7 linked regions of the Cricetulus griseus genome follow. The protein of the gene in region 7 purifies or fractionates together with the protein of the main gene of each other region. This does not show direct contact. Links are inferred from orthologs where the notes say so. Each region holds a gene or a part of one and is shown on either strand. Other genes may lie near its edges.

Region 1 (4,475 bases), on a different chromosome or scaffold from region 7:
TCTGTAGTTGGTCCCTCCCTGGGGCGAGTAGACATTTGCTCCCGTCTTCCCCAGAAATAGTGTCACACAACAGCATGTCCCAGTTCTTTACGGTCATTGGCCAGTGTGTCAATGATAGCACATGATAGCACAAGCTGGGTGACTTAAACAAAGATTGTTTTCATTTTCTCGAAATTCAAGAAGTTACTGAAGTCCAAGGCCAAGGGTTCAGAGGTTTCTCTTTTAGGCTACCTGGATTGGCAAACAGAAGGCTTATTTCTCGCCACACTCCAGGACTCCTTCTCTGTGAGCAAATTTGTATGCAAATTTCTTATTAAATGCGCCAGTCAGCTTGGATTCGGGCGCATTCTAATGACTTCATTTAAACCAGTGTGCTTTTAGGGGCCTTGTCTCCAAAATAAGGTCAGAATTGTGAGGTCCTGGGAGTTAAGGGCTTGAGCGCATGGATTTGAGGGGCTATTACTAGCCTGTGACCGGCGATTTCAGCTGCTGGCAGTAGTATGTGATCCCACGCATGGTTTCATGAAATCCTCGCGGGAGCAGATACGAGCATCTCTCTCCCCTCTCTCTCTCCTTTCCTTCCCTTCCCCCCACTTCCCGCGTGTTGTTTTTGAAACAGGGCCTCACTATGCAGCCCTGACTGTGCCAGCATTTACTCTGTAGACCGGGCTGGCCTTTAAGACACAGCGATCCCCCTGCCTCTGCCTCCCGCGTGCCGGGATTAAAGGCGGTTTCCCTTTTGTTTGTTTGGTTGGTTGGTGGTCGGTTCTTAAGACAGGGTTTCTCTGTGTAGTTTTGGAGCCAATCCTGGCACTCGCTCTGGAGACCAGGCTGGCCTCGAGCTCACAGCGATCCCCCTGCCTCTGCCTCCCGCGTGCCGGGATGGAAGGCGTGGCGGCCACCGCCCGAGCATAAAAGCGTCGTCTGGCGGCTGGCGTCTCCGTGACGAGAGCCAGGCCGCGGCCTGAGGCTGGCGGGCCCTCCGGCTGCAGACCCCGCTCTGCAGAAGCATCAGCGTGCAATTCCGCCTTGGGTGCAGCCACGGGCTCGCAGCGCAGCGGCGTCGCTGTGCGCCGGGGCCGGGCTCCCCCGCACCGGGACTGCACTGAAGGGTGGCGGGTGCGGAGGGAGGGCCGCGAACCGCTGCTGTCGCCCGGCTCCCTGGTCGGAGTCAGCCCTCAGCACACGGGAGAGCGGGTGCCCTCGTTGCAGACCGTCACTCGGAAGCCCGGGCGTGCTCGCTACGCAAAGCGGCTGAGCCGTAAAGAGCTCCGCGAGTCGTGAAGAGCCGCGGCCGGGGAGGGCTGCTTTACGGCGTGCGTGCGTGCGTGCGTGCGTGCGTGCGGGCGGGCGGGCGGAGCTCGGGGTCGCGCACGTGTGGCGCCGCCGGGGACCCCTGTGGCCGGCGGCGGGCGAGCGCCACGGTGAAGCGCGGCCTCGGCGTGCGAGCCGATGGAGCCTGCCGCGGGGGCGGAGGCGGCGAGCGCGGAGGAGGCGAAGGTGGACCTGGCGGTGGTGAAGCAGGAGGCGGGGGCCGAGGGCGGCCCGGCGCGCTGCCCCTGGGCGGTGAAGCCGGAGGCGGCGGGCGAGCCCCGCGTGAAGCTTGAGGAGGCGGGCGAGCCGCTGGTGAAGGAAGAGGCGGCGGGCGAGCCCGACGTGAAGGAGGAGAAGGTGAAGGTGAAGGAGGAGGTTCCGGACTGGGAAGAAGTGAAGGAGGAGGAGGAGGAGGGCGTGGACGTCAAACGGGAGCTGTTGGGGGGTCAGGACGTGAAGGAGGAGCAGCTGGTGGAGGCGGTGCGCGTCAAAGAAGAGGGCTCCCTCAAGACGGAAGGCTCGGATGGCCCGCGGGTGAAGGGGGAGCCTCGCATGAGCCCCCGAGGGGGCTGCAAGAGGAAGCTGGCCATGTCAAGGTAGGGCAGGGCCGGGCGCACACCCACCTGGAACCCAGAGCGTTGAGTGGACCCCGCCACCCAGCAGCAGGCGGTGAAGAGCACCAGTTAAACCAGGCACCAAGGGGGAGCCCCAAGTCTGAATGGTGGTGTTCGCTAGCACATTCTGGGACACTGCAGTGGCGGTGACCGACACGGTGTGGTCAGCTCAGGGGGCGTAAATCTGGGGACTGGAGACGTTTGTGGAACCAGAGCTTGTTAGCTGTGAAGCGATTGTGCAGGACTTGTGCCTATTGGAGAAACTAGGAATCAGGGGACATCTAATAAAAACCAACAATGAGAAAGTGAGTGGAGTTTAATAGACAGCCAGTCAGCTTGCTCTTGAACCTTTTCACGGCCCCCACGAATGTTTATTCCTGGATGTAGTTTCTTTAGTGTGCTCATGTGGTCCCACAGATCAAACTGTGAAGATTCTACCCCTGACAGCTTGGGCTGTCTGTTAAGAACAGACGAGTAACGCCATTTCTGGGTTTTCTCGGTGTCCTTTTGCAAAGGGAGGGCATACATTACGATGAAGTTTACCTGGGCCTCATCCTGTCTTGTTTTGCTTGTGTGTATGCTTTTAAAAATGTCCAGATGCAGCTTCTAGATACACACACAAAAATATCTCTGAATTGCAAATTTCAAAAATCACCGGTTCATGTTAATTTCTAATTACAGTAGAAAAGAAATCAAACAGACTATTTTTCATATATATTTTCTCGAATTGCCTTTCATTGTGTCATTTGCAAACATTTTCACAGTTTTCAATGACAGCTATAAAAGAATTGATCAGAGTCGCTGACATATGCTTTATTTGCTTTGACTACGTGCCTGTAAACTGTAAATAGGCTTGATTCAGCATTCAAAGGCTGTAAGTTCATGAGTAGAGTCAATTTTTGAGTATTAAGTCACAGGTGAATTTTACAGGTGTGAAACTTGTGGGACAGAAGAGGCAAAGTACAGATGTCCACGCTGCATGAGATATTCCTGCAGGTAGATATGTAACTTTCTACCTTATTCCTGACCTCTTCCCACTTACTTCAGATATAAAACTGCCTTCTGTTTGTCTCTGCAGTTTGCCCTGCGTAAAGAAGCACAAAGCAGAACTGACTTGTAATGGAGTCCGAGATAAAACCGCTTACATCTCACTACAGCAGTTTACGGAGATGAATCTCCTAAGTGGTAAGTCATTCTATGCACAACAGGTGACTGCTTTCTGGCCACTGGCATATGTCACTTGTTAATTTTTCCTTTCTGAAATTACTAGACTATCGGTTTTTGGAAGACGTGGCAAGAACTGCAGACCAGGTTTCAAGAGATACTTTCTTGAAAAGACCAAAGCGCAAAAAATACGTAAGGATTTCTTCTGATCTTTTCAAGTTAAAATTGCTTCCAATGTTTATTCATTTCTTGGATCTATCAAGTGGCCACCCTGACCTGGGACTGTACTGATTATTCAAGATAGATCCAAAGTTTACCCTGCGGAGTTTGTATTGTTAGTTAAGTGGAAGAGGCCGGATGTAGAAACAGCAAATATAATTTCTTACAGATTCAAGTGCATGTAGAAAATTGGGATGGGTCAAAAGAGTAAAGAAAACAAAGTAGTCTGTGAGGTCGTAAACTTCGGGGTATGATTGTCAACACAGTGGTAGAGATGAGCATCTCTGAGGACCAGTTAGACGTTGATCTTAATGGTGTGAAAGAGAGTAGGAGTCATTTGGAGGAAAACTCTTCTGGGTAGAGACCTGGACAGAAGTGGCACAAGCCTGTGACCCAGCACTTGGAGGAAGACATAGCAAGACTTTGACTCAAAAAGATGCAGGCTGAGAACTGGTGTGTATGTTTGGAGATTACAAGAGGCAGGATAACTGAAGCATAGTGAATGGGTAGGGATGCTAAATGGAGTTTAGGAAAAGTTGTAGAGTTCCCAAGCATGCTAAGTAAAGGGACCAAGGGAGACTGTGTGGTGCTGCCTTTAATACCCTCAGAAAGTCAAGAGGCAGGAGAGACTCTTGAGACAGGCCATGCAGGGCCCGGTATATGAGCCTTTTTTGTTTGTTTCCAGAGAGGATTTCTCTGTGTAGCTTTTGGAGTCTGTCCTAGAATGCTCTGGAGACCAGGCTGGCCTCAAACTCAGAGAGATCCACCTGCCTCTGCCTCCCAGTGCTGGGATTAAAGGCGTGCGCCACCACCGCCTGGCTAAAATAATTTTTTTTTAAAGGATGACTTGCTGCTTGGTTGGGGTCAGGGAACCACAGTGGAAGACTGAAGCATGAAGAACAGTTTCAGGAGTGTGTGTCAACGTGTGAGAGGTGGTGGTGGCTTGGGTATGCTGTTAGAAATAACTGGAAAGTAGTGTGATTCCAGTTTTGACAAAACAGTTAGCCGGGCCTTGTGTCCTGACATATTAGTTTTCAGATTCGTGCTTCCTTCAAACAATAGGAAAATTAAAGGTTACAACTGTGAGATATTTGGTACCTGAGAATTTCATTACTACTGTGATTGAATCAGACCATTTTAGTGTAGAAGTGAGAACTTCAGTAC
Region 2 (2,733 bases), on a different chromosome or scaffold from region 7:
GCTGTGCTAACATGTCTGTGGCCTTGTAACTGCATTTCCATCTGCACCACAATCCCCTAAAAAGCTATGAGCTATCTTCTTAAACCTCCCAGGCAATGGCATCAACACAATGGCGTCTCTGGATTTAACATGCAGGTGAGTTTCTTTACAGCAATGTACCTGAAAAACCTGTCACTGCCCCTATAGGTCTCTAAGGGCTGGTGTTTACAGTCTTCTCTAGGTAGAAGCCACTGTGGGCACTTTAATGTGTCCTATTAAGTCACACTAGAATGATAACACATCTTACAAAAACAGGAGCTGAGGGCTAGGGGTGGGATGGGGCACTTCATACCTGCCTAGGCTGAGACCATTGCTGTACCACAAAATACTCAAAATTTCTGCTTGCACACATTTGAGTAATCATTTGTAACATCCTATGCCACCCTTTTCTCCCTGCAATCAACACCAGAACTGGCAATTTCCGACCCTAACCCTGACACTCTCAAGGCCATCTGACCTGCTGGCACACTACACAACACACGTACTTTTCCCCTCTGTTCTGCAGAACACTGGATTTGTAATGACCCCCCTTGAGAGCAGGTGATAGGCCCCAATGCCAATGTAAGACACAGAATTAAGAAACTTAAAAGTAGCCAAAAAAGGAGAAGCGAATTTCAAACAGGACAAAAAGATCCCCAGCTTTTTAATAAAAATATTTCATTTTTTGTTCTGCCAGCCTATGATTATCAATTAATAAACCCAACAAATACTTTTCAAAGCTATAAATTACATTCTTTTCCCAGCAATGAACAAATCCATTCTTCAAAAAAAAAAGCATTAAAACAGGAGGGTATAAGAATGCTTTGGCTTCTCCTAAAAACACAAGTAGCCAACATAGAGAGTGCTAGCTAGCCCAAACACCAGGCCATCAAGACCCATATCTAATACCAGAATAGAACAGCCCTCACAGGATACTGGAGATAAGATTTCCCCACTGAACATGTTCAATTACATTCTTCTTTTAATCACAGAAGGTTCTATACCATTTTATTTAGCAGATTTAATTTTCACAAACCTTAAAAAAAGCAAACTAGGAGAGGACTATCTATGGCATTAAAATGGCCATTAGTAAACAGCTGCAGACAGTTAATTAGGCAGTGCCATGTCTGAAAGTGTGCTTCCCCACTCAAGCAAGCAGAGGGGTCAGAGGCAAAAACCTGCTTTTCATCTCTCATATCCTTAAAACAGGACAGGACAGGATGAGATGGCCACACCTTAATCACTGAGGTCACAAGTGGCAGCTAAAGTGTACCAGAACTCTGTACTCTGTTTGGGACCTCTGTTCTACTCCCTCAACAAAATGTTTTCTCAATAAGGCTTTCATTTCTCCTCCCAGCTGGACATAATTCTTCAAGTGGCTTTTACTATTCAGACATTTCTTCTACCACTTTTACTTTCTTCTTCTTTTTCTTTTTGGTGGTGTCACTGTCCTAAAGAAAGAGAAAGTAAGTTCAAAGTACCCTTTGCCAAAATATTTCTGACTGTTCCCAAAAGAAATCTGGTAAATTGCAGTCAAGTCTGTTCAGGATCTGCAAGGGCATTTGAGATTAAACAAATTTTGCCTGTGACCTCAGTGAAGTCCTAGAAGTCTACTTTCACAAGGGCTTTGAGCAATCAAGTTACACAGCTTCCCCACCCACCAGCGACATAATTCAAACCATGATCCATTGCTCTAAAATGCTGGGTGCCCCTACTTGTCTGTCCAAGGGGAATGGACATGGCAAATCCAGAACACAAGGCAGCACCAAAGGAGGCAATGGTAGAACCCCACTCTTGCACTACAATTAACTGTCAAAACTCAGCCAGCACAAAGGCACCCATGGTTTATACATACCCCATCTCCAGCCTCGCCCCCACTTTCTAGCACAGTTTTAGGCTTCTTATCCTTCTTATTCTTCTTCTTTTCCTTCTTCATCAATTGGGGGACTACTGGAGGGGTCTCATCACATTCACTTTCACTCTCTCGCTTCCTCTGAGACAAAAAATTATTCATCCAGTAAGAAATGTGGAAAGTTACTAAGATTCCAAGTAAACCCAACAGTAAATTTTTTGTCTATAAACTTAAATACTGCCTGATTTATTAAAGATTTCAAAAGACAGTATCTCACTAAATAGTATTGTAAGCCATGGACCATGATGGGTGTGCCAAAGCAGTTTGGAGTATAGAAGACCTTGAGAAACTGTCTCAGTGAACCAACTCCAAATGCTCCCTTAGGTGCTCAAACAGGCACAAATCACAAATTCCACATAGCTTAATTCTAGTCACCCAGGTTTCTAACTGCAAACATACCATTTGGGGCTCTAATGACAATGGTCCAAAACCTTTGGAAGTTAGGTTACCACCATATGCTTCACTTCACTCTTAAACAGTGACATAGTATTGGCTGAAGATAGTTGCTTGTATCTGACAATTCTGTTCCCTGCTGAGTTTCCTATAGGCCTCTGATTTCGGTACACTTAATGCTATACCTATTTGACCCAAGATCCAAGGTCAGTCTGCTTTTTTTGTTTTGGAGACAGCGTTTCTCTGTGTTTTAACAGCCCTGGTGGTCCTGGAACACACTCTGTAGACCAGGTTGGCATCAGACTCAGATATATGCCTGCCTCTGCCTCCCAGGTGCTGGGATGCAAGGTATGTGCCACCACCGCCTGGCGTCGGTCTGGTTCTTAAGCCCACACTCCCCCTACAGCAGA
Region 3 (4,019 bases), about 11 Mb from region 7:
TGCATGTGAGATCTAATCCCCTCTTCTGACCTCCCCAGGCATAAACATGGTGCATATACACATGTTCAGGTAAAACCCCATATCCACAAAACTTTAAATCTTTCAAAAAATTTAAAAGATTCAATAATATAAAATGAAGAGCCTTCCTTTTTATTGGGGGGGGGGGGTTAAGTAAACATTTTATCCACTTAGAACATCTTTAAAAAAATAACTTGGGCTGGAGAGGAGCTAAGTGGTTAAGAGCACTGACTGCTGGTTCAACTCCTAGCACCCACATGGCAGCTCACAATTGTAATTTTACCAACCACCCATGGCAAAATACCAATGCACATAAAACAAAAATATATTAATTTAAAAAGACCTGAAAACAAAGTATTTTCAGATAATTATATTCTTAATAACCTTAAGACTTCACTTAGATCATATGCAGACTGCAATAGTCACTTTAGAAATTTTCAGAATCATGACATTAAAAAAATTGGCATCTCAAACTACTATTGATGCTATGATGCTGTGTGAGGTAAGTGAATTAAATCATAGTGTATAGGCTGCAAACCAAAGTAAACATGCACGCACGCACGCACGCACGCGCACACGCACAGTAAAAGAAAACCACATAAATGATCTTTCAAATGTGGTTACTACTAACTACTGGAATTATGGGAAATCCCAATGATATAAATTATCTGTATAATCAAAAAGAAAAAGGAAAGCATATGACAAGGCTAAAACTATGAATGGGGCCACACTATCTAGAAAAACTTTGGCTTTCCAGCATTTATTTCTTTATTGATTCAATGATTGGCTGGATTGACTGAAGCACTGGTGATTGAACACAGTCTTTAAAATACATGACATGACACATGGCTTCTTTGGTATACAATATGAAGATGAAAAAAGATGAAAGCAGGGTCTCCATTTGCAGTTTAGGCTGGCTTTGATCTCTCAATCCTCTTGCCTCAGCCTGAGATGTTTCTTTTAAATAACAAAAAGAAGTATGATTTAAGTTTTGAAAAAAAAAAAAAAAAAAAAAACGGGACTTACATACAAATCTTTTTAAGTACACATTCTGTATGCTAAGATTCTTTTCTGCAAAAGGCTTTACTCTGCATGAGACAAATGAAAGCTTGGAGTGTGGTAGTTGGCACCTTTGCCATTGAGTAACACTGCCTTCCTTTCTACCCTTGGCTTGATTTCCTTACACTTCTCTGCTCTGCTATCTATCTGGCAGATCTACTGCTAAGAAAGAAGAGACAGGATCACAATTAGCATTATGCTTCATAACGGTGCCCACTACCATCTACTATGACCTCCACAGGCACTTCTTCTGGGACTGCCCCTAAGTAATTAATTTATCACCAAAGGCAATGCTCTCAACAGGAAGCTAAGCCCTAGCTCCCTTTAGCTAACACAGTGGTCTGCCCTGACACACACAGACTTACATTGTGCTCTCCTTCAGTGACACGTATTTCATAGCAATAGGCCAGAAGGATGTCAACTAAACTGTAGTACACTTGACGGTGAGCTGTCTTGTCCAGCAGGTAAGACTTATTCACAAATTTTCTTAGCTGATATTTTTCCTCTTCTGAAAAAGACACTAGAAGAAAACACAGTTCTGAATTATTTATTTATTTATTTATTTTACAGTCCTGAAAATTAAATGTGCTATTCAGGTTCATAAAACCACCAGTGCAGAAGATTTGCCAAAATGGAATTCTGAATATAAAAGCAAAATCAAAGTTATTTATCCATAACTCTACATATAAGGCAATTTCTTAAAGGAGGATTTTCAAGCTTTATTAAGAGCCATGTGTCTATCCAAACCTTCTAGACGTTCCCCTCCTACATTTCAATAGCAGTTTCTGACTTCACAAATCTTTTTCCTAAAGTTTATTCTTATTATTCTAAATTATGTGTATGTGTGTACCTGTGTACGTGTGTGTGTGTCTGTGTGTGTGTGTGTCTGTGAGAGAGAGAGAGAGAGAGAGAGAGAGAGAGAGAGAGAGAGAGAGAGAGAATGTGGGTATGTGCATGTGACTGCAGGAGGCTAGAAATATCATACCCCCAGGAACAGTCAGAGAGAGAGAGAATATGTGGGTATGTGCATGTGACTGCAGGAGGCTAGAAATATCATACCCCCAGGAACAGTGAGAGAGAGAGAGAGAGAGAGAGAGAGAGAGAGAGAGAGAGAGAGAGAGAGAGATATAGGTATGTGCATGTGACTGCAGGAGGCTAGAAATATCATACCCCCAGGAACAGAGAGAGAGAGAGAGAGAGAGAGAGAGAGAGAGAGAGAGAGAGAGAGAGAGAGAGAGAGAGAGAATGTGGGTATGTGCATGTGACTGCAGGAGGCTAGAAATATCATACCCCCAGGAACAGTCATTAAAGACAATTAGGAGCCACCTGACACATGCACTAACCAATCTGGTAGAGTCTTTTTGTCAACTGAGGTTCCCTCTTCCAAAATGACTCTAGCTTGTGTCAAGCTGACATATTAGCCATAGCCAGCATACCTTCCTATACACACTTCTCACCCCACCTGGCAATGAACTTAGCAGCACTTTTCCCATGTCTTTCCAGTTTAATGAGTTTAAGTGACTGTGATAAGGAGAATTCCAAGATGAACGCCCAAAGAATGGCATCACTCCCTTTGAGGAATAGATCTTGTTACTTGATTCTGCACAACAGAATGTGACAAAGATGACAGAACAGCTATCGCCATGCTTACATTCCATTATTGTCAGAGTAGAGCCAGGGTATTCCTGGAGTGACATGGCATGTGAAAAGGCTATGTGGCAGGTACTTCTGGGACTGCCACAATCTGAAGATTGCCCCATTTAATAACTGGCAAGAAAGTGGGGCCAGTTTTGCAGCTTGAAGGAAGAGAATTCTGCCAACAATAATATGAGCCTGAAGGAAAGAATGTAGCAACCAAACCTACTTTTTAAAAGAGATGGGCATATTTGGCCAGTATGTCCAACCTTTTAACAATGTAAAATGATGCTGTCGGGTCATGATGATCAGCACGTTAAAGGATCACACAATCTAGTTACAAAAAAGATCATTCAAAGGTCTCAGAATGTTTTATGTAGTTTTTGATTTTGTGTTGGTCTGCATTAATAGCTCTCATCCCATAGGCCACAGACATATCTGAGCTACCACAGTCTTGCAAGGCCCAAAGGACCTATCAGAGCCAGACCTGACCCCTAATATATGGAGACTATGAGAACACCAGCATGGGGATAAGCTGTTCTACAGCAAAAAATTTAACTGTGACCCACTACTGGGTACTTGAGTTAGTGCCGCTCTGCTAAACATATGGCATTTGTTCCTGGTTATGTTGGCAAACTGGGTTTGCTCTGTGAATTGCCCATCAAACTGTGTTCTTTCCAATTTTTCCTATGGAACAGCTTGGCTTATCAAAGTTTTAAAAATTTTGTGTATTATAAATATAAGTCCTTGGGTCAGCAAGATAGCTCAGCAGGTAAAAACACATGCCAATCATGTCTTTGGCCAATCATGGCCAATCATGGCCAAAGACAACTGATTTTGTTCCCAAGGACTCAATAAAGTGAGAAGGAGAAAACCAACTCCATGAAGCTGTTCTCTGACCTCTACACATGAGCCATGGAATACGTAAACCCACACAATTACGAACACACAGTAATAGATATATTAAATATAAATCCCAATCAAATTCCAAATCTGCTGACTTTGTTTGGGTTACCTTTTGCCACAGAAACTGTTTTCATTATAATCCCACATAGTCCTAGATTCTGGATTTACTGCCTTGGTTCATGTTTTTTCCAACTCCTGAATCATACATGAAGTCTTTTTAAGGTTGTTTCACTTGGGGCTGGAGAAATGGCTCAGTGGTTAAAAGCACTAGCTACCCTTCCAGAGGACCTGGGTTTGAGTCCCAGCACCCACACAGTGGTTCAAAACCATCTGTAACTCCCATTCCAGGGGATCCGACGTTCTTTTTTGAGCTCTGCAGGCAAAGCACTACTACACATTAA
Region 4 (4,589 bases), on a different chromosome or scaffold from region 7:
TCGGATGGTCTGATGACACAGGAGAAGCCCCCACTAGCATCTCTGCCGGATGGTCACATTCACCCGGGAACCTGAGAACAGGCAGTGAGGGCTTGCAGCATTAGCGCATCTCTGTGGCACCTGGGGCTGAGGTGTCTATGTTCGGCGCCTCTTGGCAGCACTGGGGCTGGAGGGATTGCTGTTGGCAGTCAGGACCTTGTCAGTGACCCGGCTGCGCTTCCGCTTGTCTGCCCCGTCTTTGCACCCCAAGTCTGAGGAGTTCTTCTCCTTGTCTTTGCTGGATTTTTCTAATGCTTTCCCCAAGCTCCCTGAAGATGAAAAAACTGAGAAACAAAATCATTTGGCTGAAGACAAAATATACACAAACTCATTTTTTTTTCCTGTTCAGCTAGATAATGAGATATACATCAGGCTCTCTGCACCTAATGTTACCCTGGGTGGGAGTCCTGTGAAGCTTGGGCTATAAGAGACGCCTCATCTCCCTAGGGGTCTCCTGTCTGAGCACACTTGATGCTCCCAGGTTTGGCCTTGGTCTCAGTGAAGGGACAGCTGAATGCTTGGCCCCTTCCAGGCCTTCAGGGGCCCTCCTGCCTGAGGTGAGCTCATCTCTAAGTGGACCCTCCACCCCTCTGACTCCACGGCTTCCTGGTCCCATTCCGCCTGAGGCGTGCCACGCTTACCGTCATCAGCCCCACTGTGGGGGTCCACATCCTCCTTCATCTCCTCCTTCATCTCCTCTTCAATGACCACTTTTCCTGTGGAGGAGACAGCTGCCGTTCACTGGAAACCCACGGTGGTGGCCAGCGTTGGGGGATGGTCTGGCCATGACTGCTTCCGATTCTCGCTGCCCACACAGGCCTCGGCGTCCATCACGAGATGGCATCCATCAGGAGACTGCCTTTGAGCACCGCTCTCCCCAGCCCTTGGTTCCCAAAACCTCCCGGGTGCCACTGGATGTGGGGTCTGAGCAGGATCCTTACACCTCCCTGGAGGCCCCAGACCTCCCCACCTTTGGCCTGGTCCGGCTTTTTTAATCCCCAGCCCCGATGGTGGCCGAGTCTCACCTTCTCGGACCTCTTGAATGATCTCATCTGGAAGGACAAAGTTCCTCTCTGGATTTGGGAATGGGAGAATCTCAGACTCGTGCTGCCGGCACAAAGCAGTTTTGGTTTTTTTTTTGTATTTTTGAGAAACAGAAAATGGTATCAGCTCACTAAGATGCACAGGAGGAGCAGGCTGGAGGCTGAGCTGGTAGGGTTCCTGGCTCTAGCTTGCAGAGTCTACTGCAGCTGGGCTTTTCAAATGAGGGAGGGCCAGGCTAGCACCAGCCCAACAAAGCCAGAGAAAAGGACCAGGCGCGTGCCACCCAGAGGAAACTGGCAACATGTCAGCCCCGCTGATGTGCATACCAGGAACTGACCTGGCTCACCACTGCAGTATTCCCACCAGGACAATGTTCCCCAGGTGCACCATGACCACAGGCACCTACAGCTCCACCTATCCTGGTACTGAAGTTACACTGCCTGTCAGACACTATAGACAAATCTGCCCAGCTTGGTTACTAGTTACCCTGCATACCTGTCACACATTGCCAGCTCTCCAAACCAGTTACACAGTCACCCATCAGACAGCGCTACCTCTAAGCTCTACAAAGAGGACTACATCTGGCTCCCACAGGGGTATCCAGTGCACCTCAATGGGACTCAGATGGGGTCAGCCTCCACCTAGAGCGCTCGGGACCTCTTACTACTTTACACTGAGGCTGATGCTATTCTCTGGCATCTCAGCAGCCAACTATCTATCTCCCTGGAAGACTTCTTGTGGCCACCCCAGATCTAAAGCAAAAGTGGTCAGAGACCATCACTAGTTAGTGCTTTCCACAGCAGGACTTGGGCTTTCCTGAGGAAGGGCCTCATCTACTGAGATCACTTCTTCTCTGCTCTGCATAGTGAACCCCACGTGACCGGTGGGCTCTGTCTTGTACTACCACAGATGATCCTAGGAAGACAGGATGTGGGTGGGACCCGTCTCCACCTTCAGCCCCAAAGCGGTGAGCCACGGTCCAACTCACCAGTGCCTGCATGTCATACATAGTGCTCAGATGGTCCCAGATGACCTTGGATGGGACCTGGCGCCCAATATTCTGGCTGAACTTGTCTCGAATACAAATCATGTGGAAATGTCGATTCACCCCTGAGAGGCAGGACAGTGGGTTAGGGGTTAGGGCTGCATCTCTGTGCAGACAGCATGGACGTTGGAGGGGCAGGGGTATGAAATGGCAGGTGGGGGTGTTGCAGGAGTCAGGTGTCAAAGAGGATAGAGGTGTCAGGAGGCAAGTGGGTGTCCCAGGGGCAAGTAAGTATACAGTAGGCGGGTCCGGGGCAAGGGGGGCTGCAGAGGCGGGGACTGTGGAGGCGGTCCCTGGGGTAGGAGTGTCTCAAGGGCAGGGAAGTCAGGGGCGTCCCCCGGGAGAGGGCTTCTCGGGCAGGAACGTCATGGGGTCTTGGACTAACTGGGCACTCCGAAGTGGGAGGTCCCGTCTCGGGTGAGGTCGCAGGCTCCGCCCGCCCGCGCTCGCCCGCCCGCCCGCCCGTTTACCCGCCCCACCCCCATGCGGGTGCGCGGCTCGCCGCGACGCTCACCGACAGGCTTGTGGCCCAGCATGGCGTGGAAGAGGCACACCTCCACCTCAGGGCTCCACACTACCGTTTCCTCAGCAGGGCTCGGGGCTGCCTCGCCGGGGCCCTTGTCGCCTGGGGCGCCCGTGCCGCCCACCTCGGCCTCCCCCATGGCCGCGGGCGAGCCACAAGCGTCCGGCGAGAGAAGGGTTGCTACAGGCTCCGCGCAGGCGCACTCGGTGTGGAGGGCGCGCGCTAGCTGGGCTCCGGATCGCCGCGTATCCGCGTCCGCGCAGGCGCAACAAAGGCTGGCTTCCGGTGCCGGCACGCCCCCTGGTGGTCAGCCCTTTCCCTGCCTCCGGCTCTGGCCAGAGAGGGAGCTGGCAGAAACCTTAGCTTTAAAAGAACACCGCACTCCTTTAATCCTAGCGTTCTGGAGGCAGAGGCAGGAGAATCTCTGAGAGTTCCAAGTCAGTCAGTCTACATGGCATGATACACACGCCCCTAAGTTAAATATGTTAAAAAGATTCAGGCTCTCCCCCTGCCAGTAATAAATCATACAGTGTGTAAATTACATCTCAGTAAAGTTGTTTGTTTGTGTTTTAAAGCCAGGGGCTAGTGAGATGGCTCATCCAATAGAGACGCTTGTGCACAAGCCTGATAACTGCAGCCTCACCCCTGGATCCTGCAGGGGGCAGGAGAGAACCAAGTCGACCCTCTATATCCATACCATTGTGTATGTGTGTGTGTACACACACACACACACACCATAAATAAGTAAAAATAAAAGCCTGACAACCACAATTTGTAGAATTGAGGCTCTTATCATCTCAGAATGGCCCTGGCCTGGTTGCTCATGACAGTCCCAGAGTTCGGTGCTTCCTTGGCATCTGGGTCCTGCTGGCCTTGCCATCTACTTCTACCTCCGTACTGTCCCCACAGTTGAGCTCCACCAGAAGTGGGTTGGTGATGAATTCAGACAGGTGTTAGTTTCTGGTCTGGCCACTGAAGAGGCCTAACTTAACATCAGTGCAGCCATGACAGGCTGCAGGCTAACAATACTGGCACTAGGCCTCATTCTTAAAATAACCAGGAAAAACCACAGACTGTACCCTGCAGGGGACCAATCAAAATTGAGACAAACAAATACTAGATGCTTCAGAACACTAAGAATAGCTTACCTAACTTGTATATAGGTTGACAATTTCCTTGCAGCAATGCCTGCACCAATCCCTGTTTGACAGGATTTCTGTTGCCTCACTCCTGCCCAATCTGGAGTTTAGCCCCGATCTGAAGCCAGAATTCCCTTACACCCCATCCTTTACTCCTTAAAAAACCCGCCATAGCTAAGCTCAATGTTCTTCCTGATCCAACCACCCTGTTGGAACGGATGGAGAGCCCAACCTGGAGCTTGCAATAAAGGCTCTTTGCTTTTGCATAGGAGCTCAGACTCCTGGTAGTCTCTTGGGGACTAATGACTCTGGTATAACAGCCACAACGCCACACTGGATTGGGTGGGGCCAAGTGCTGGGCAGAGCAGTCTACACAAGAATGTGGTCTCTCCTTGAGGTCTGAACCACCCCAGTTGCCACCCGTACAGGTGTCTCTATCATTCATCCCTCATCTATGCCCTCCATGTTCAGGCTTCAGAATCCCTTTCCTGACTGCTGCCTCTCAGCTGTGGCCTTGGAATCCAGTTCTGACCCTGTACCTGTCCCTCATTCAGGCCTGTAACCAGACCATGCTCACAACAGTGAGTAGGGCACTGTGGAGGGTGCAGGCTCTGGCCAGCCTCATTGTCTGGGACAGCTCAGGGCTCAGAGCCAGTCAGCCGTCTGTGGCTGGCTTCAGCTTTCCATTGTGGAGGTAGGTTGGTGAGGAGAGTCCCAACAGTGCCATGGGGGAGATGTAGCCCAGTGGGGCCTGGGATCACAGCTGTCACATGGAGTTATGATTCCCCCAGGGCCTGTG
Region 5 (3,095 bases), on a different chromosome or scaffold from region 7:
AAGAGTAGAATAAGCATTAGAACTCTAGAGAATATATTACTAGAGTATGGACAGGTCACATTTTAAAGTAACTATAACTAACTACATATGACCCCCACAAAAACCCCAATTTTTATCATTTCCAGGCAGGAATGAAGATTCTTTTTCTTCAGCTCAGAAATTCCACTAATTTCTAATACTAGTGACAAGTTAGGGAATATATAACATCATTAATCCAAGTTCCTTTTTATAGGCTTATGGTCAAAACTTTTGAACCCATACAAATAAATTTTTTTTGTTTGTTTCACTGTTATCCTTGCATTTGTGTCACTGAAAGGAACATAAAATTTGCCCTGCAAAACATTATTTGGTTTTAGAAAGTTCTTAAAAATTTTAAAACTATAAAGTGAAGGGTCATAGAGTATGATTTCAATTTAAGTTTCTGATATGAACTGATAGCTCCAACCTAGACTATCAGTCTATAAAATATGATGTGATAGGGGTAGAGAGACAGCTCAGCAGTTAAGAGCACTTGTTGCTCCTGCAGAGGACCCAGGTTTGATTCTTAGCACACAGGCAATGTCCTGCATCCTTCTGTAACTCAGTCCCCGGGAACCTGCCTTCCACTGGTATCCACAGGTACCAGGCATGCACACAGTGCATACACATGCATGCAGGCCAAACACTTATACACATAAAATAACATAAATCTTTAAAAAATTTAAAGATAAAATAAAAAAAAATGAGTGACTGAAGCTTCTAAAGTATCAATTTGACATTCTCATCTTTCTACAGTTGGCATTTAAGGACGCTAACTGGTGTCGGTGGGCACAGAGCTTTCTTTGTGTTAAGCAAATCCTCAAGCTTTTTGAAAAATCAAGTCTGTCAACAGATACTGCTTGAGCAGTGAAAAGCCAAAGGCCCTTCTCCTCCAAGAAGCTGGTGCAAAGCCACACACCTGGCCATGCTGCTGATGGCACTGCTGGGAGTAACCTTTGGCACTCTGTCCATACTGGCAGCAACTGTGGCAAGTTTTAAGGCTGTTGGCGATGGTGCTGAAGTCCGTGTATTGATATGCACATTGACAGGAGAAACAACACTGACGTTATTGAGGTGCACTGCATTGGTCAGGCAGGAATTGTTCATGGGAAGCGTCTGAGGACTGCTTGTGCACAATGCTGGGATCAAGTGGTTTGTAGTAGTGTGGCCAACTGTCCTTACAAGCTGTACAGCTGAAATCCCTGCGCTGGATGATAAAGCCATATTGGTGGAATATATTGTTTTAGATGGTCCTGCAGAAGAGGGGAGAAATCATTCAATTAGTGTCATGGGACAATAAAAAAAACCCCCTAAGAATTAGGAATTTAGTTAATGAAAGTAAGTGTACTCATATTCTAGTTCAATAAATTCTCAGTTAACTTTCCATATCACAGTCATACAAAGAGGCTTCACCAAGCATTTTGCTATCTCTCTCTGAGTCAACTTTGGAGATAAACACAATAGGACAGATGAGAATGATGGCTGGGTTGCCCTAAACAGTTATAGGCATACAAAGATCAGCAATGCGGGCTGAAGAAAGAAAAGAAGGAGGATGCTCCTGAGTACATCTAATGAAACTAGAGGGTTCTCAGCTGGGAGCTGGGAGGAGACAGAGAAGCACTGTCCCTGGAGCACAGGCAGTAGGCAGCAGGCAGGCTTTCACAGCCATAATGTATCCCTAAAGGAGAAGTCAGGGGAAGTATATCTAAGAATATGTGCACATTGGTATGTAAACCCAACCTCAAGCCTTATAACTGACTGTGCTGTTTTGTATTTCACTTTTTAATCAATTCATAGATGAATCAATGGGGGTGATTGATAATGAGCTCAATGGATATTTCCTAACATGTGAAGCAACTGATAGTCTAAGATGTAATCAGGATGGATGGATGGAGGCAGGCATACAGAAGACAGTGTTGAGAATTCTGGAAACACTCAGTTCCTCATCCAGATCCGTCCAGGCATTCTGAAGAGCACTTGTATACATTTCCTCTGTGCATATAACAAAACCAAACCCAACTGAGTAAGTGGCAACTTCAAACTACTAAGTATTATGTGAAACCCCAGTTGTACCTGAAGGCTGGACAACACCATTCATGTTGTTGTGGCCAGTGTTCTGTTCCTTGGATACCTCACTGCGACTAGGAACAGGAGCACTGACAACTGCAGATGCAGCAAAGTGTGCACTGGCCGAGTCAAGTGTTTTAGACATACAGTCAGAGGTGCTTGAGCCCTATAAAATGGATAGAAGCACAGTTCAGTTTTCCACATTTGTCTGTCTGTCTGTCTATGTATCTATCTACTAATCCCCCCTGCCCCCACCTCCCACCCCTGCCAGTGACAGGGGAAACAGGAATATGGAGTATGTGTGGAGGTCAGAGGACAACTGTCAGGAGTTGGTTCTGTTCTTCCACCAAGGCAGTTCCAGGGATCCAATTCAGGTTGTCAGACTTGGCAGCAAGTGCCTTTACTAGCTAGGAAATCTTGCCAGCACCCTACATCCTCAGTTTTGTTAGATGGGATTAATGAGCACATTAAGGAATGTTCGGAACGCAAGGACATTGCCTTTCTAATCATGAATAGTCGAAAGTACTTAGCTGTGAGGTTTTTTATTTTATTTTGTTTTTATTTTTTGGTTTATGAAGCATGAAAATCACTAGAAACTAGCAAGCAATTATTTCTGAGAAAAACAACTAAATTGAAAAATCCAAGTTCTATTAACTTTTCTAGGTAATAATGAACACTTTAAAACTGCTTAATGAGCAGACACCATAAATAAAATAAAATCACAGACATGATTAATAGCCACTTCTATCAAAATGTAAAAACCTGGACCAATCCAACTTTGAAGAAGACTGCAAAAACTTCAGGTTAGTTATCTGAAGAGACTCACAAAAAACAAAGCAAACCAAACTCAGTGGCTACTCTTTCATGATTCTGTGTAAAACTGCCTGCTACTAACAATGATAGCCATAGGCTCTAAGTCAAGCCCAGATCTACTAGGACTACCAGAGGGTGTGGGGATAGCAACCAGGGTCACTAAGATTTCCACGATGTTGGCTTATGACTTTAAGGTA
Region 6 (4,752 bases), on a different chromosome or scaffold from region 7:
TGCGGAATGAATGGACTCCATAGAGTCCACTGGAAATAGTCTGCCGAAAACCAAGACTCTGCTATGAAAACTAAAAGGGAAATCATCTGTCAAAATCCAAATTTTCAGCTTGGTGCCCAAACAAATATCTCTTAACCTCTGAAATTTCTTCCAGCAAATATTCAGTGGTCTGCAGCTCAGAGACATGCTTTATATAGACCATCCTGGCCGATAATGGAGGCTTTCTAAATAGAAAGAATGCCACTGTAATCCATTTCCTAGGGGTGAAAGCAAGGCATTTTTGTCCCAATGGCCAATTGAGCAACAACCACAGACTCTAGCTGAATAGCAGTGGTGTGAGGAGCTACTGTTCCCACAGTTAGAAGCCCAACTGCAGAAGGGGCTATTTACAGAATTTAGGGAACTACGTAAAATGAACTGCAGACGGGCTGACATTGCACAGTTGTCTGGGATGAAAGCAACATTACAAAATGGTTTCCTTTTATATTATATAACTCTTCTCTGTTTTTAAAAATTTGGTATCTCAGTCATGTTTTACTTGATATCACCCCTCCCCAAAGAAGAGCAATGCAGAAATATAAGCCCACGCAAAGAAAGAGCTAGTTTTAAAACTCAATTCTTTCTCCTTATAGTTTCGGAACCCTGTATTGGAAAGGATAGCTCATTTCTACAGATAAAATAGCACAGGCTCGGGGGAGGGGAGTGGGTGTGGAGGGGTGGTAGGGAGTGCTGTCCGTAAACAAAGCTAGCTCTATGGTGAACTATAAATTCTGTTTTGTATATTATTTCTCTTTAGTTCGTTCTCTTTTGCTTTTTTGTGACATGATCACACACTATAATCCACGCTGGCCTCAAACCAGCTGTAATCCTCCAGCCTCAGCTCCTCCAAGGTTGGGATTTACGTGCCAGTTAGGGTGACCTTGAACTGCAGATCTTCCTGCCTCTGAACCCCAGCTGCAGTTTAGATTACGATGCTGGCCTATTCTTAGTGGGCTTCTGAATCTTGTTCAAACAACAGTAACAATAACTGTAAACATCGGCATTTACCCAAGCCGTTTGGACCATCATTTCTATCTCTGCTGGTTTTTTAAAAGCAATTAAAGACTTTGGATCCTGAGGGAATATGGTCAAATTTAGTGTACTGTGTATGAAATGCTGGAATTTTCTATTAAAAAAAAAAAACCATAAAGTCTGTGATTAAGTGTAGGGGAAAACCTTGGATTATTTTAACTATAGTTTAAGGTTTAAGTCATGTATAATCACCCAGCCCCGATTTTCTTTCTTCCCTTCCCTCCCCTCCCCTCCCCTCCCCAGCCCCACCCCATAATGGATGCTCCGCTAGTTGCATTTGCTCAGCCTTTGTCTGAGGATGCAAAGTCTACGGATGCTAGGGGGAAGGGGTGGGGGAGAGATTACCTCATACCATGTCGCTTGCACCAATCACCACTCTCCTGTCGCGGCTTCTCTGGGCAGACGGAGGGGTCTGGACCAACAGGAAAAGGCCGTGGCCCATCCCCATGGTGACCGAGCTGTATATAAGGAGCCGCATCCGCCCATGTGCCGCAGGTTCTCTTACATCGACCGCCTAAGAGTCGCGCTGTAAGAAGCAACACCTCCTCCTCGCCTCCGCCAACCTCCGGGCAGCCGCAAAGCAGCAACCATGGTGAGCCAGCCTTCTTCCCTGGTCCTCCGTAACTGGGTGGAATCAGTCTCCCGAGATCTTCAAGGGAAAGCCTAAGTCTTTGTCACCCCTGCGGGGAAGGGTGGTCTCAATGCTTTGTTAAGTTGAGCTTTGCGCGGAGTCCGTAAATCCCGCAGCCGCAGTGCGGGGCAGGGAAACGCCCAGACCCGGGGAAGAACAAAGGCTCCTGCGAGTGTTTGCTCGCACAGCCTGGGCCGTCAGGGCGGGGGTTCACGGCTAGAGGGGTGCGCTGCGGCGGGCGAGCAGGGCGGCGGCCGAGCCCTCACTCCAGAAACGCCGCCCCACTTCTATGGGAAAATGGTTAGTTTGCGTCGGATCCATGGCAGCCGGTGTCAGGGAGGCGCAGGGGCGGGGTTGTTTGTCTCTTGCTTCCGTGGCGTTTTGGGAGGGGTTCGCCCTCTCTAAACTTCCCTCGGGAGTGGTTTTTGTATTTTTATTTTTAAAAAATTGCTGTGGAACTGTAATCTTACAAGAGGTTTTGTTTGCTTGAGTGTCAAAAGTACGATTTACTTAACACCAGGACATCTCGCTGGGGAGAGAGGGGCTGGATAGTTGGTGAGGTTGCCTCGACTACCCTGATTGTCAGAACCCAGGGAAACGCCCTTCCCCACCCCCCACCCCCGCAGACAATGAAAGTTGTAGCTTTAAAGACAATAGAAAACTATCTCTATAGAATAAATAATACTAATATATTATGTGGTATGTAAAGATTCATCGAATAAAATACCATTTTCTAGTTTTAAATGTTATCTTTTTACTCGGTTTTTATTGTTGGCCCTTGTTTCTAACTTAGCTTTAAGAATATTTTGCTTCTATATAGTGGAAAAGATTCTGGAAAATCTTCATTATCTAATGAAACTGCTGCAAGGAAAAAAATTATACTCCGTATCCAACTGTCTTTTGTTCTAATACATCTTCACTAATTCATTATTTCAGGCAAATGGCCCAGACAGGGTTAAGAGGGTTAGGAAACTGAAAGCAGCGAGGGGATCGTATAGACAGCTGCTGGAAATAGAGCTTTCTCTGTTAAATAATGTAACAAAGGGCACAGGCTAGCACCAGGCACAGCAGACACAGCAATGCAGAAGTCACACTTTGTCTAGTGCTGATGAGTTCTGCAGAAGGGTGTGGCTCCTGCCCGCAGCCGCAGTACTGATGTCCATGTTGAAATACCAGATCACAAAAGATGAAGCATTCATCTTTACTTATCAGGAAAAGAAGCAATTAAAATAATTCCAGACAATTATTTCACTTTACAGTATCAGTGTATTAAGTATTTTTCGAACATGAAAACTCTTCTATTTAAGTATGGCTGTGAGAACAATGGGTTTGCACCAAGTCTTAGTATTAAGGTGACATTATTCAGACCACACCCCTTTGCAGTATTTGTATCAGGTACTCATTATTGTTTCTGTCATATGAGGGATATGACTCCAAATAAATTTCAACAATATTTGTGTTATTAGAAACACTTTAGAAATCTATTAAAATCTAAAATAGAAATACAGCTTAATTTCATAATTTTTCCCCCTTTTCCACAGCGTGAGTGCATCTCCATCCACGTTGGCCAGGCTGGTGTCCAGATCGGCAATGCCTGCTGGGAGCTCTACTGCCTGGAACATGGCATCCAGCCTGACGGCCAGATGCCAAGTGACAAGACCATCGGGGGAGGAGATGACTCCTTCAACACCTTCTTCAGTGAGACAGGCGCTGGCAAGCATGTGCCCCGGGCCGTGTTCGTAGACCTGGAACCCACAGTCATCGGTAAGTGGGCCAGGGGTTTCCCTGAGGCATTCTGTCCTGGTCACATACTCAGAACCTCTCCACACACCGCCGAAGAGTGAGTGAGCTTGTGTGTGTCAGTTACTGTTGTGAATGGTTGATTTCATCTCCTTTTCCAGATGAAGTTCGCACTGGTACCTACCGCCAGCTCTTCCACCCTGAGCAGCTCATCACAGGCAAGGAAGATGCTGCCAATAACTATGCCCGTGGCCACTACACCATCGGCAAGGAGATCATTGATCTTGTCTTGGACAGAATTCGCAAGCTGGTAAATACCATAGATGGATGGGTTCATTTAAAATGCAGTGTGGGGGAGTGTTGGGACCTGCCAAAATAAGTAAAGTCTGTTCACTACATTAATTAAGTAGACTTGTACATGTGGTCTATGGGTCATGAGATCATTTTTAATACCAATTCACAATTTTTTCCTTTCAAGTAAATGTGGTTTGCCATCTTGAGGAATTGCAAGCAGTGCTGAGAGTATGCCCTGTTGATAAACAATGCCTGTTCTTTTTTTCCTACAGGCTGACCAGTGCACAGGTCTTCAGGGCTTCTTGGTTTTCCACAGCTTTGGTGGGGGAACTGGCTCTGGGTTCACCTCCCTGCTGATGGAGCGGCTCTCTGTCGATTATGGAAAGAAGTCCAAGCTGGAGTTCTCCATCTACCCAGCCCCCCAGGTTTCCACTGCTGTGGTTGAGCCCTACAACTCCATCCTTACCACCCACACCACCCTGGAGCACTCTGATTGTGCCTTCATGGTAGACAACGAGGCCATCTATGACATCTGTCGTAGAAACCTCGACATTGAGCGCCCCACCTACACTAACCTAAATAGGTTGATAGGTCAAATTGTGTCTTCCATCACTGCTTCCCTCAGATTTGATGGAGCCCTGAATGTTGACCTGACAGAATTCCAGACCAACCTGGTACCCTACCCTCGCATCCATTTCCCTCTGGCCACATATGCCCCTGTCATCTCTGCTGAGAAAGCCTACCATGAGCAGCTTTCTGTAGCAGAGATCACCAATGCCTGCTTTGAGCCAGCCAATCAGATGGTGAAATGTGACCCTCGCCATGGTAAATACATGGCTTGCTGCCTGCTGTACCGTGGGGATGTGGTTCCCAAAGATGTCAATGCTGCCATTGCCACCATCAAGACCAAGCGTACCATCCAGTTTGTGGACTGGTGTCCCACTGGCTTCAAGGTTGGCATTAATTACCAGCCTCCCACTGTGGTACCTGGTGGAGACCTGGCTAAGGTCCAGAGA
Region 7 (3,632 bases):
CCTTATGTGTGGTCAGCAGAGAGCCACTTCACTCAAGAGCCCAGCATAGAACAGGGGACATAAACAAGGTCCCAGACATGGCAGCCTTGGCCAGGTGCTTAGGGCTCACAGTATAAGTGTCCTACTGAAAGTACCTGCCAAGATGGGCTGTAGACTTGTGTGGCTCTCAATGCCCAACGGTCATCAGAACAGAGATGTCTGGGAATCTCATAGCCTAGAGCCTGAAAGGAAGATGAGATGTAACATCCCGACACAGCTCTCAACGCTCACTGACAAATGTCCTGCCCTACTGCAGAATGGAACTGCACTGATGCCACAGTAACTATAAGTCTAAACTGGTCCTGCAATTTCTGTGTATGTGTTATGCATAAATAACCTTGTTTTGTGCTGCAAATAGAACTTAGAACCCCCCATAGTAACTCTAGCTCCAGGGGCTCTGATGCCTTCTTTTGCCAGTCCCAGGCACCTGCAAGTTTGTGTGCGTGTACACACACACACACACACACACACACACACACACACACACACACACACACTCCGCGAGCATGGAGTACAAACATAAAAACCTAAAAAGAGAGGTATCATCAAAATAACCTATTCAGTTTTATTAGAAAACAAGCCAGGTGGGAAGGGGTTCCTTCCAAGCAGACATGGAGGTTTGATAATTTAGAAAGAATGTTCCCAGAGTCAGCAACACTGCAAAGCACGCTTGACTCAAGGCCCTGTCCACGGTGTGGGGTCTGTCCTCTGGGTGCACCTCCCAGCCCAATGTTACTTCATGTACTTGTCCTGCTGGTCAGCCAGAATCTTGGCAGAGGACTTGGCATCATAGAAGAGTTCGCTGATCTCTTCCACATGCTCCTTCTCAATGCTGTCCTTCCCGTTGATCTTTGCCAGCAGGTTGGCTGGGGTCAGCAGCTGCACAGAATACCTACAGCAGACAGCACAGCGTGAGCATGGGGCCACTGCAGGGAGCCCAAAGTCAGAAGGCGAGCATGGACACTGCTGGCATGGCTGCAGCCATCTAACTGCAAGGAGCCCAAGGTGAGGACGGCAAAGGAGAACTGCCACTGCCCATCACAACTGAGACCGGGGACACCAGGGGACAGGGGACACAAGGCTCTTCTCACATCTGCAAAGGGGGTGACTTCATCTCTGCTGACAGACTAACATTTTGATACACACACACCCTGGCAGGGCAGACAGTATCAACTTAGACGGGGAATTTTCACATGCAAAGAAATGAACACAGGCAACTGAAAGCTCATGCAGGCCCAATGAACATTCACTAAACATGTGACAGTTTCTTCCTTTACTTCAGGAACAAGAGCAACATACTCAAGGGACACAAGGAGGGCTCAGGGTCTGAAGACCTATCGTCTATCTTCTCCAGTCACTGCCTTTGAACCCTGGCAGAACAGCCTGGAGAACACAGCACTAATCCACTAGGCTGCTGCCACCAGATACCTGGAATACACCCAGGGTAAGGGTGATGGGGACAGGCCCTGCTCTACTGGGAAACTGGAAGAGAATGGTGAACTCTACTAGGGGCTTGCTGAAGACTGGGTTCTAACTCATTTCTAGATTCTTAGCACTCTAAACTTAATGCCTGGAAAAGGCCCTTGGCACAGCATAAGGGCTCCAGCAGGCTGCTACCTGGTGTACACACCTCAGTGTGGTCTTGGTGCCAATCTCCCCCAGGTGGTTAAGCGCCTCCTCGCTGATGTTGATGCCTTCCGTCTGGGCTCGGATCTTAATGATCTTTGGAGAAAAAAAAAACAATCGTTAAGTGTCTCAACTGTGTTCAGTGTCTGACCAGCTGATGGCCACCAGCACTGCTAGTCTGCATCTCTGGGAATCACACGCCCCAGCCACAGTCCACCTGGATGACATCATAGCCAGGGGTACCCCCATGTCCAGTGTAGCTCACAGCTTCCTCTTCCTTTTCCCTGTTACAGAGAGCTAGGTCCACTCCTAGCTTTGCCCTCAAGGCTCCAACATCTCCTGGCAGCTTGAGCACTATCACCTAGCAGCACTCAAGCAAGAGAACATTTTTTTATTTGTTTGATAAATACTATGGTTAAATAAATCAAAAAAGTTACTTTTAGAGATTTACCAGCCCTCCTAACATCGCTGAGATATCTAATCTATCAAGCGCCTAATGCTTGTTGCACTGTGTATCCTGGTGAGGCTGGAGGGGTGGCCGGCAGGCGGTGAGATGCTGCAGCGGTGGCACAGGGTCCCACGGGCACTGCAGCACTGAGTGATAAGGGCCAGCAGGATAATGATGTTGTGTGTTGTGGGGCCGAGATAACTCGAGGACTTCGAGCCTCATATAATACAGGAATTTTTCACTCTGGCAGCTTCGTAAACAAGATATCAAGAAGCCGTTGTTTAAATTAAAGCCGTAAAAACAGCCAGAGCAGAGGCACAGGAACTGGAAGACACTGAGTCCTAGTTCCAGGCTCTGGAGAGAGAAAAGAAGAGTGGAGGCTTGAGATGGCTGAGTGTGACAACTCAGGGCTCTGCCGGGGTCAGCAGTCATCAGCTGCCTGTCACTGTAAGCAGCCTGTAAGGAGCTCAGAGCAGCAGGCTGGCATGCATTCCTAAGAGGTGGCCACTTCGCAGACCCCCACTGCCTATGCCACCTTTATCCAGACAAGGTTGTAAGAGAAGAATTGGGGGAACTCTTGACTGGTTCACACATGTCCCAAACACTACAGAGGCCTCAAACATATGTGCGGTGCTCCTCAGGGGTCAGGATATGATCATCTACACAGGCTATTAGGTCCAACAGCAGAGGGGCCCAAGGTTCAAGGGCTGTGGAAAGCAAGCTAGAAAGGATGTCCCCTGCTCTACTCCATCAGCCAGCTACATGACTCAAGAACTCCTGACCAACAGCTGGACAAGGGAGACTGTGGGCCAATAGCACAAATGGCTGCTCAGGAGTCTTCTGGAACTTCAAGAGGGACTGGGGATTAGGTACATCAGAGGCAGGGCATGTTCTCAGCATGTATAGGGACCTAGGTCATATCCCCAGCACTGCCAACTCCCGAGAGATATAAACACTGAAGACCAGAGGCTGGCCGAGGGGAGGGCTGAGGATGCTCAGTGATGCTGGGCTGGTGATGCTAGGCTGGCCCTCCCCTCAGCTGGATCTGTGGCTTGGCTTCCTTCCACAATGCCAGTGATATCTGCTCTCACTGTCTCTAGAACAGACCAGAGCAATCATGGGAGCTTCTACCTCAGCTGCTTGGAAACAGGCAGCTCATGAATGAGATCTTTAATCATTTAATAACCTGCAGGGGTGTTTATGAGGTGTCAGTACTAGTGGCATTTTGTACATGTTAAGTTGAGCTTGTCTGTGTAAAACCTGCCTTAACTCCAGCAAAAGGCTGAGGGGATCCCTGAAGCTGCAAGGCCAAAGCAAGACCCAGACAGGTAGCCACTGAGAGAAGCCCAGAGACTGGCCTGAGCAGGCCTGTCAGTCACAGCTCCAGTATGAGAGGAGACTCCAGAGCAGTTTCGCCTGGAGCTCCAAGGTGAGCTACTCTGGTGGGGATCCCAGCTCCACGACTTAGTTATCAAAGCCTCTGTCAAAGACCCTAGAGGCTGACTATGAAGCAGCTGGG

What was found.
Region 1: the proteins of Ruvbl1 (region 7) and Znhit6 purify together in Homo sapiens (co-immunoprecipitation; 3 studies listed by BioGRID and IntAct, counting the BioPlex papers as one, with this or other methods). This does not show direct contact. The link is inferred for Cricetulus griseus from reciprocal best matches to the Homo sapiens genes RUVBL1 and ZNHIT6.
Region 2: the proteins of Ruvbl1 (region 7) and Dkc1 purify together in Homo sapiens (affinity purification with mass spectrometry; 4 studies listed by BioGRID and IntAct, counting the BioPlex papers as one, with this or other methods). This does not show direct contact. The link is inferred for Cricetulus griseus from reciprocal best matches to the Homo sapiens genes RUVBL1 and DKC1.
Region 3: the proteins of Ruvbl1 (region 7) and Shq1 purify together in Homo sapiens (affinity purification with mass spectrometry; 3 studies listed by BioGRID and IntAct, counting the BioPlex papers as one, with this or other methods). This does not show direct contact. The link is inferred for Cricetulus griseus from reciprocal best matches to the Homo sapiens genes RUVBL1 and SHQ1.
Region 4: the proteins of Ruvbl1 (region 7) and Mrgbp purify together in Homo sapiens (co-immunoprecipitation; 6 studies listed by BioGRID and IntAct, counting the BioPlex papers as one, with this or other methods). This does not show direct contact. The link is inferred for Cricetulus griseus from reciprocal best matches to the Homo sapiens genes RUVBL1 and MRGBP.
Region 5: the proteins of Ruvbl1 (region 7) and Epc2 purify together in Homo sapiens (co-immunoprecipitation; 3 studies listed by BioGRID and IntAct, counting the BioPlex papers as one, with this or other methods). This does not show direct contact. The link is inferred for Cricetulus griseus from reciprocal best matches to the Homo sapiens genes RUVBL1 and EPC2.
Region 6: the proteins of Ruvbl1 (region 7) and Tuba1a purify together in Homo sapiens (affinity purification with western blotting; 3 studies listed by BioGRID and IntAct, with this or other methods). This does not show direct contact. The link is inferred for Cricetulus griseus from reciprocal best matches to the Homo sapiens genes RUVBL1 and TUBA1A.

Annotation. Positions count from the first base shown.
Region 1 is NW_023276806.1:13,622,259-13,626,733, reverse strand, and holds the start of Znhit6 (box C/D snoRNA protein 1), read left to right. Parts: upstream 1-1,352; 5' UTR 1,353-1,452; coding exon 1,453-1,910; intron 1,911-2,858; coding exon 2,859-2,924; intron 2,925-3,006; coding exon 3,007-3,113; intron 3,114-3,198; coding exon 3,199-3,284; intron 3,285-4,475. UniProt on the Homo sapiens protein: Required for box C/D snoRNAs accumulation involved in snoRNA processing, snoRNA transport to the nucleolus and ribosome biogenesis.
Region 2 is NC_048604.1:738,879-741,611, forward strand, and holds the end of Dkc1 (H/ACA ribonucleoprotein complex subunit DKC1), read right to left. Parts: intron 2,012-2,733; coding exon 1,874-2,011; intron 1,470-1,873; coding exon 1,404-1,469; 3' UTR 652-1,403; downstream 1-651.
Region 3 is NC_048601.1:43,316,690-43,320,708, reverse strand, and holds part of Shq1 (protein SHQ1 homolog), read right to left. Parts: intron 1,598-4,019; coding exon 1,443-1,597; intron 1-1,442. UniProt on the Homo sapiens protein: Required for the quantitative accumulation of H/ACA ribonucleoproteins (RNPs), including telomerase, probably through the stabilization of DKC1, from the time of its synthesis until its association with NOP10, NHP2, and NAF1 at the nascent H/ACA RNA.
Region 4 is NC_048599.1:1,356,995-1,361,583, forward strand, and holds the start of Mrgbp (MRG/MORF4L-binding protein), read right to left. Parts: upstream 2,870-4,589; 5' UTR 2,791-2,869; coding exon 2,643-2,790; intron 2,194-2,642; coding exon 2,072-2,193; intron 1,147-2,071; coding exon 1,065-1,146; intron 756-1,064; coding exon 681-755; intron 324-680; coding exon 136-323; 3' UTR 1-135.
Region 5 is NC_048599.1:124,754,822-124,757,916, forward strand, and holds part of Epc2 (enhancer of polycomb homolog 2), read right to left. Parts: intron 2,252-3,095; coding exon 2,092-2,251; intron 1,272-2,091; coding exon 938-1,271; intron 1-937. UniProt on the Homo sapiens protein: May play a role in transcription or DNA repair.
Region 6 is NC_048595.1:395,417,531-395,422,282, reverse strand, and holds the start of Tuba1a (tubulin alpha-1A chain), read left to right. Parts: upstream 1-1,563; 5' UTR 1,564-1,660; coding exon 1,661-1,663; intron 1,664-2,948; exon of another isoform or gene 2,949-3,243; coding exon 3,244-3,466; exon of another isoform or gene 3,467-3,603; coding exon 3,604-3,752; exon of another isoform or gene 3,753-3,809; intron 3,810-4,008; coding exon 4,009-4,752. UniProt on the Homo sapiens protein: Tubulin is the major constituent of microtubules, a cylinder consisting of laterally associated linear protofilaments composed of alpha- and beta-tubulin heterodimers.
Region 7 is NC_048601.1:54,796,180-54,799,811, forward strand, and holds the end of Ruvbl1 (ruvB-like 1), read right to left. Parts: intron 1,799-3,632; exon of another isoform or gene 1,762-1,798; coding exon 1,670-1,761; exon of another isoform or gene 1,322-1,669; intron 1,045-1,321; exon of another isoform or gene 932-1,044; coding exon 772-931; 3' UTR 580-771; downstream 1-579. UniProt on the Homo sapiens protein: Possesses single-stranded DNA-stimulated ATPase and ATP-dependent DNA helicase (3' to 5') activity; hexamerization is thought to be critical for ATP hydrolysis and adjacent subunits in the ring-like structure contribute to the ATPase activity.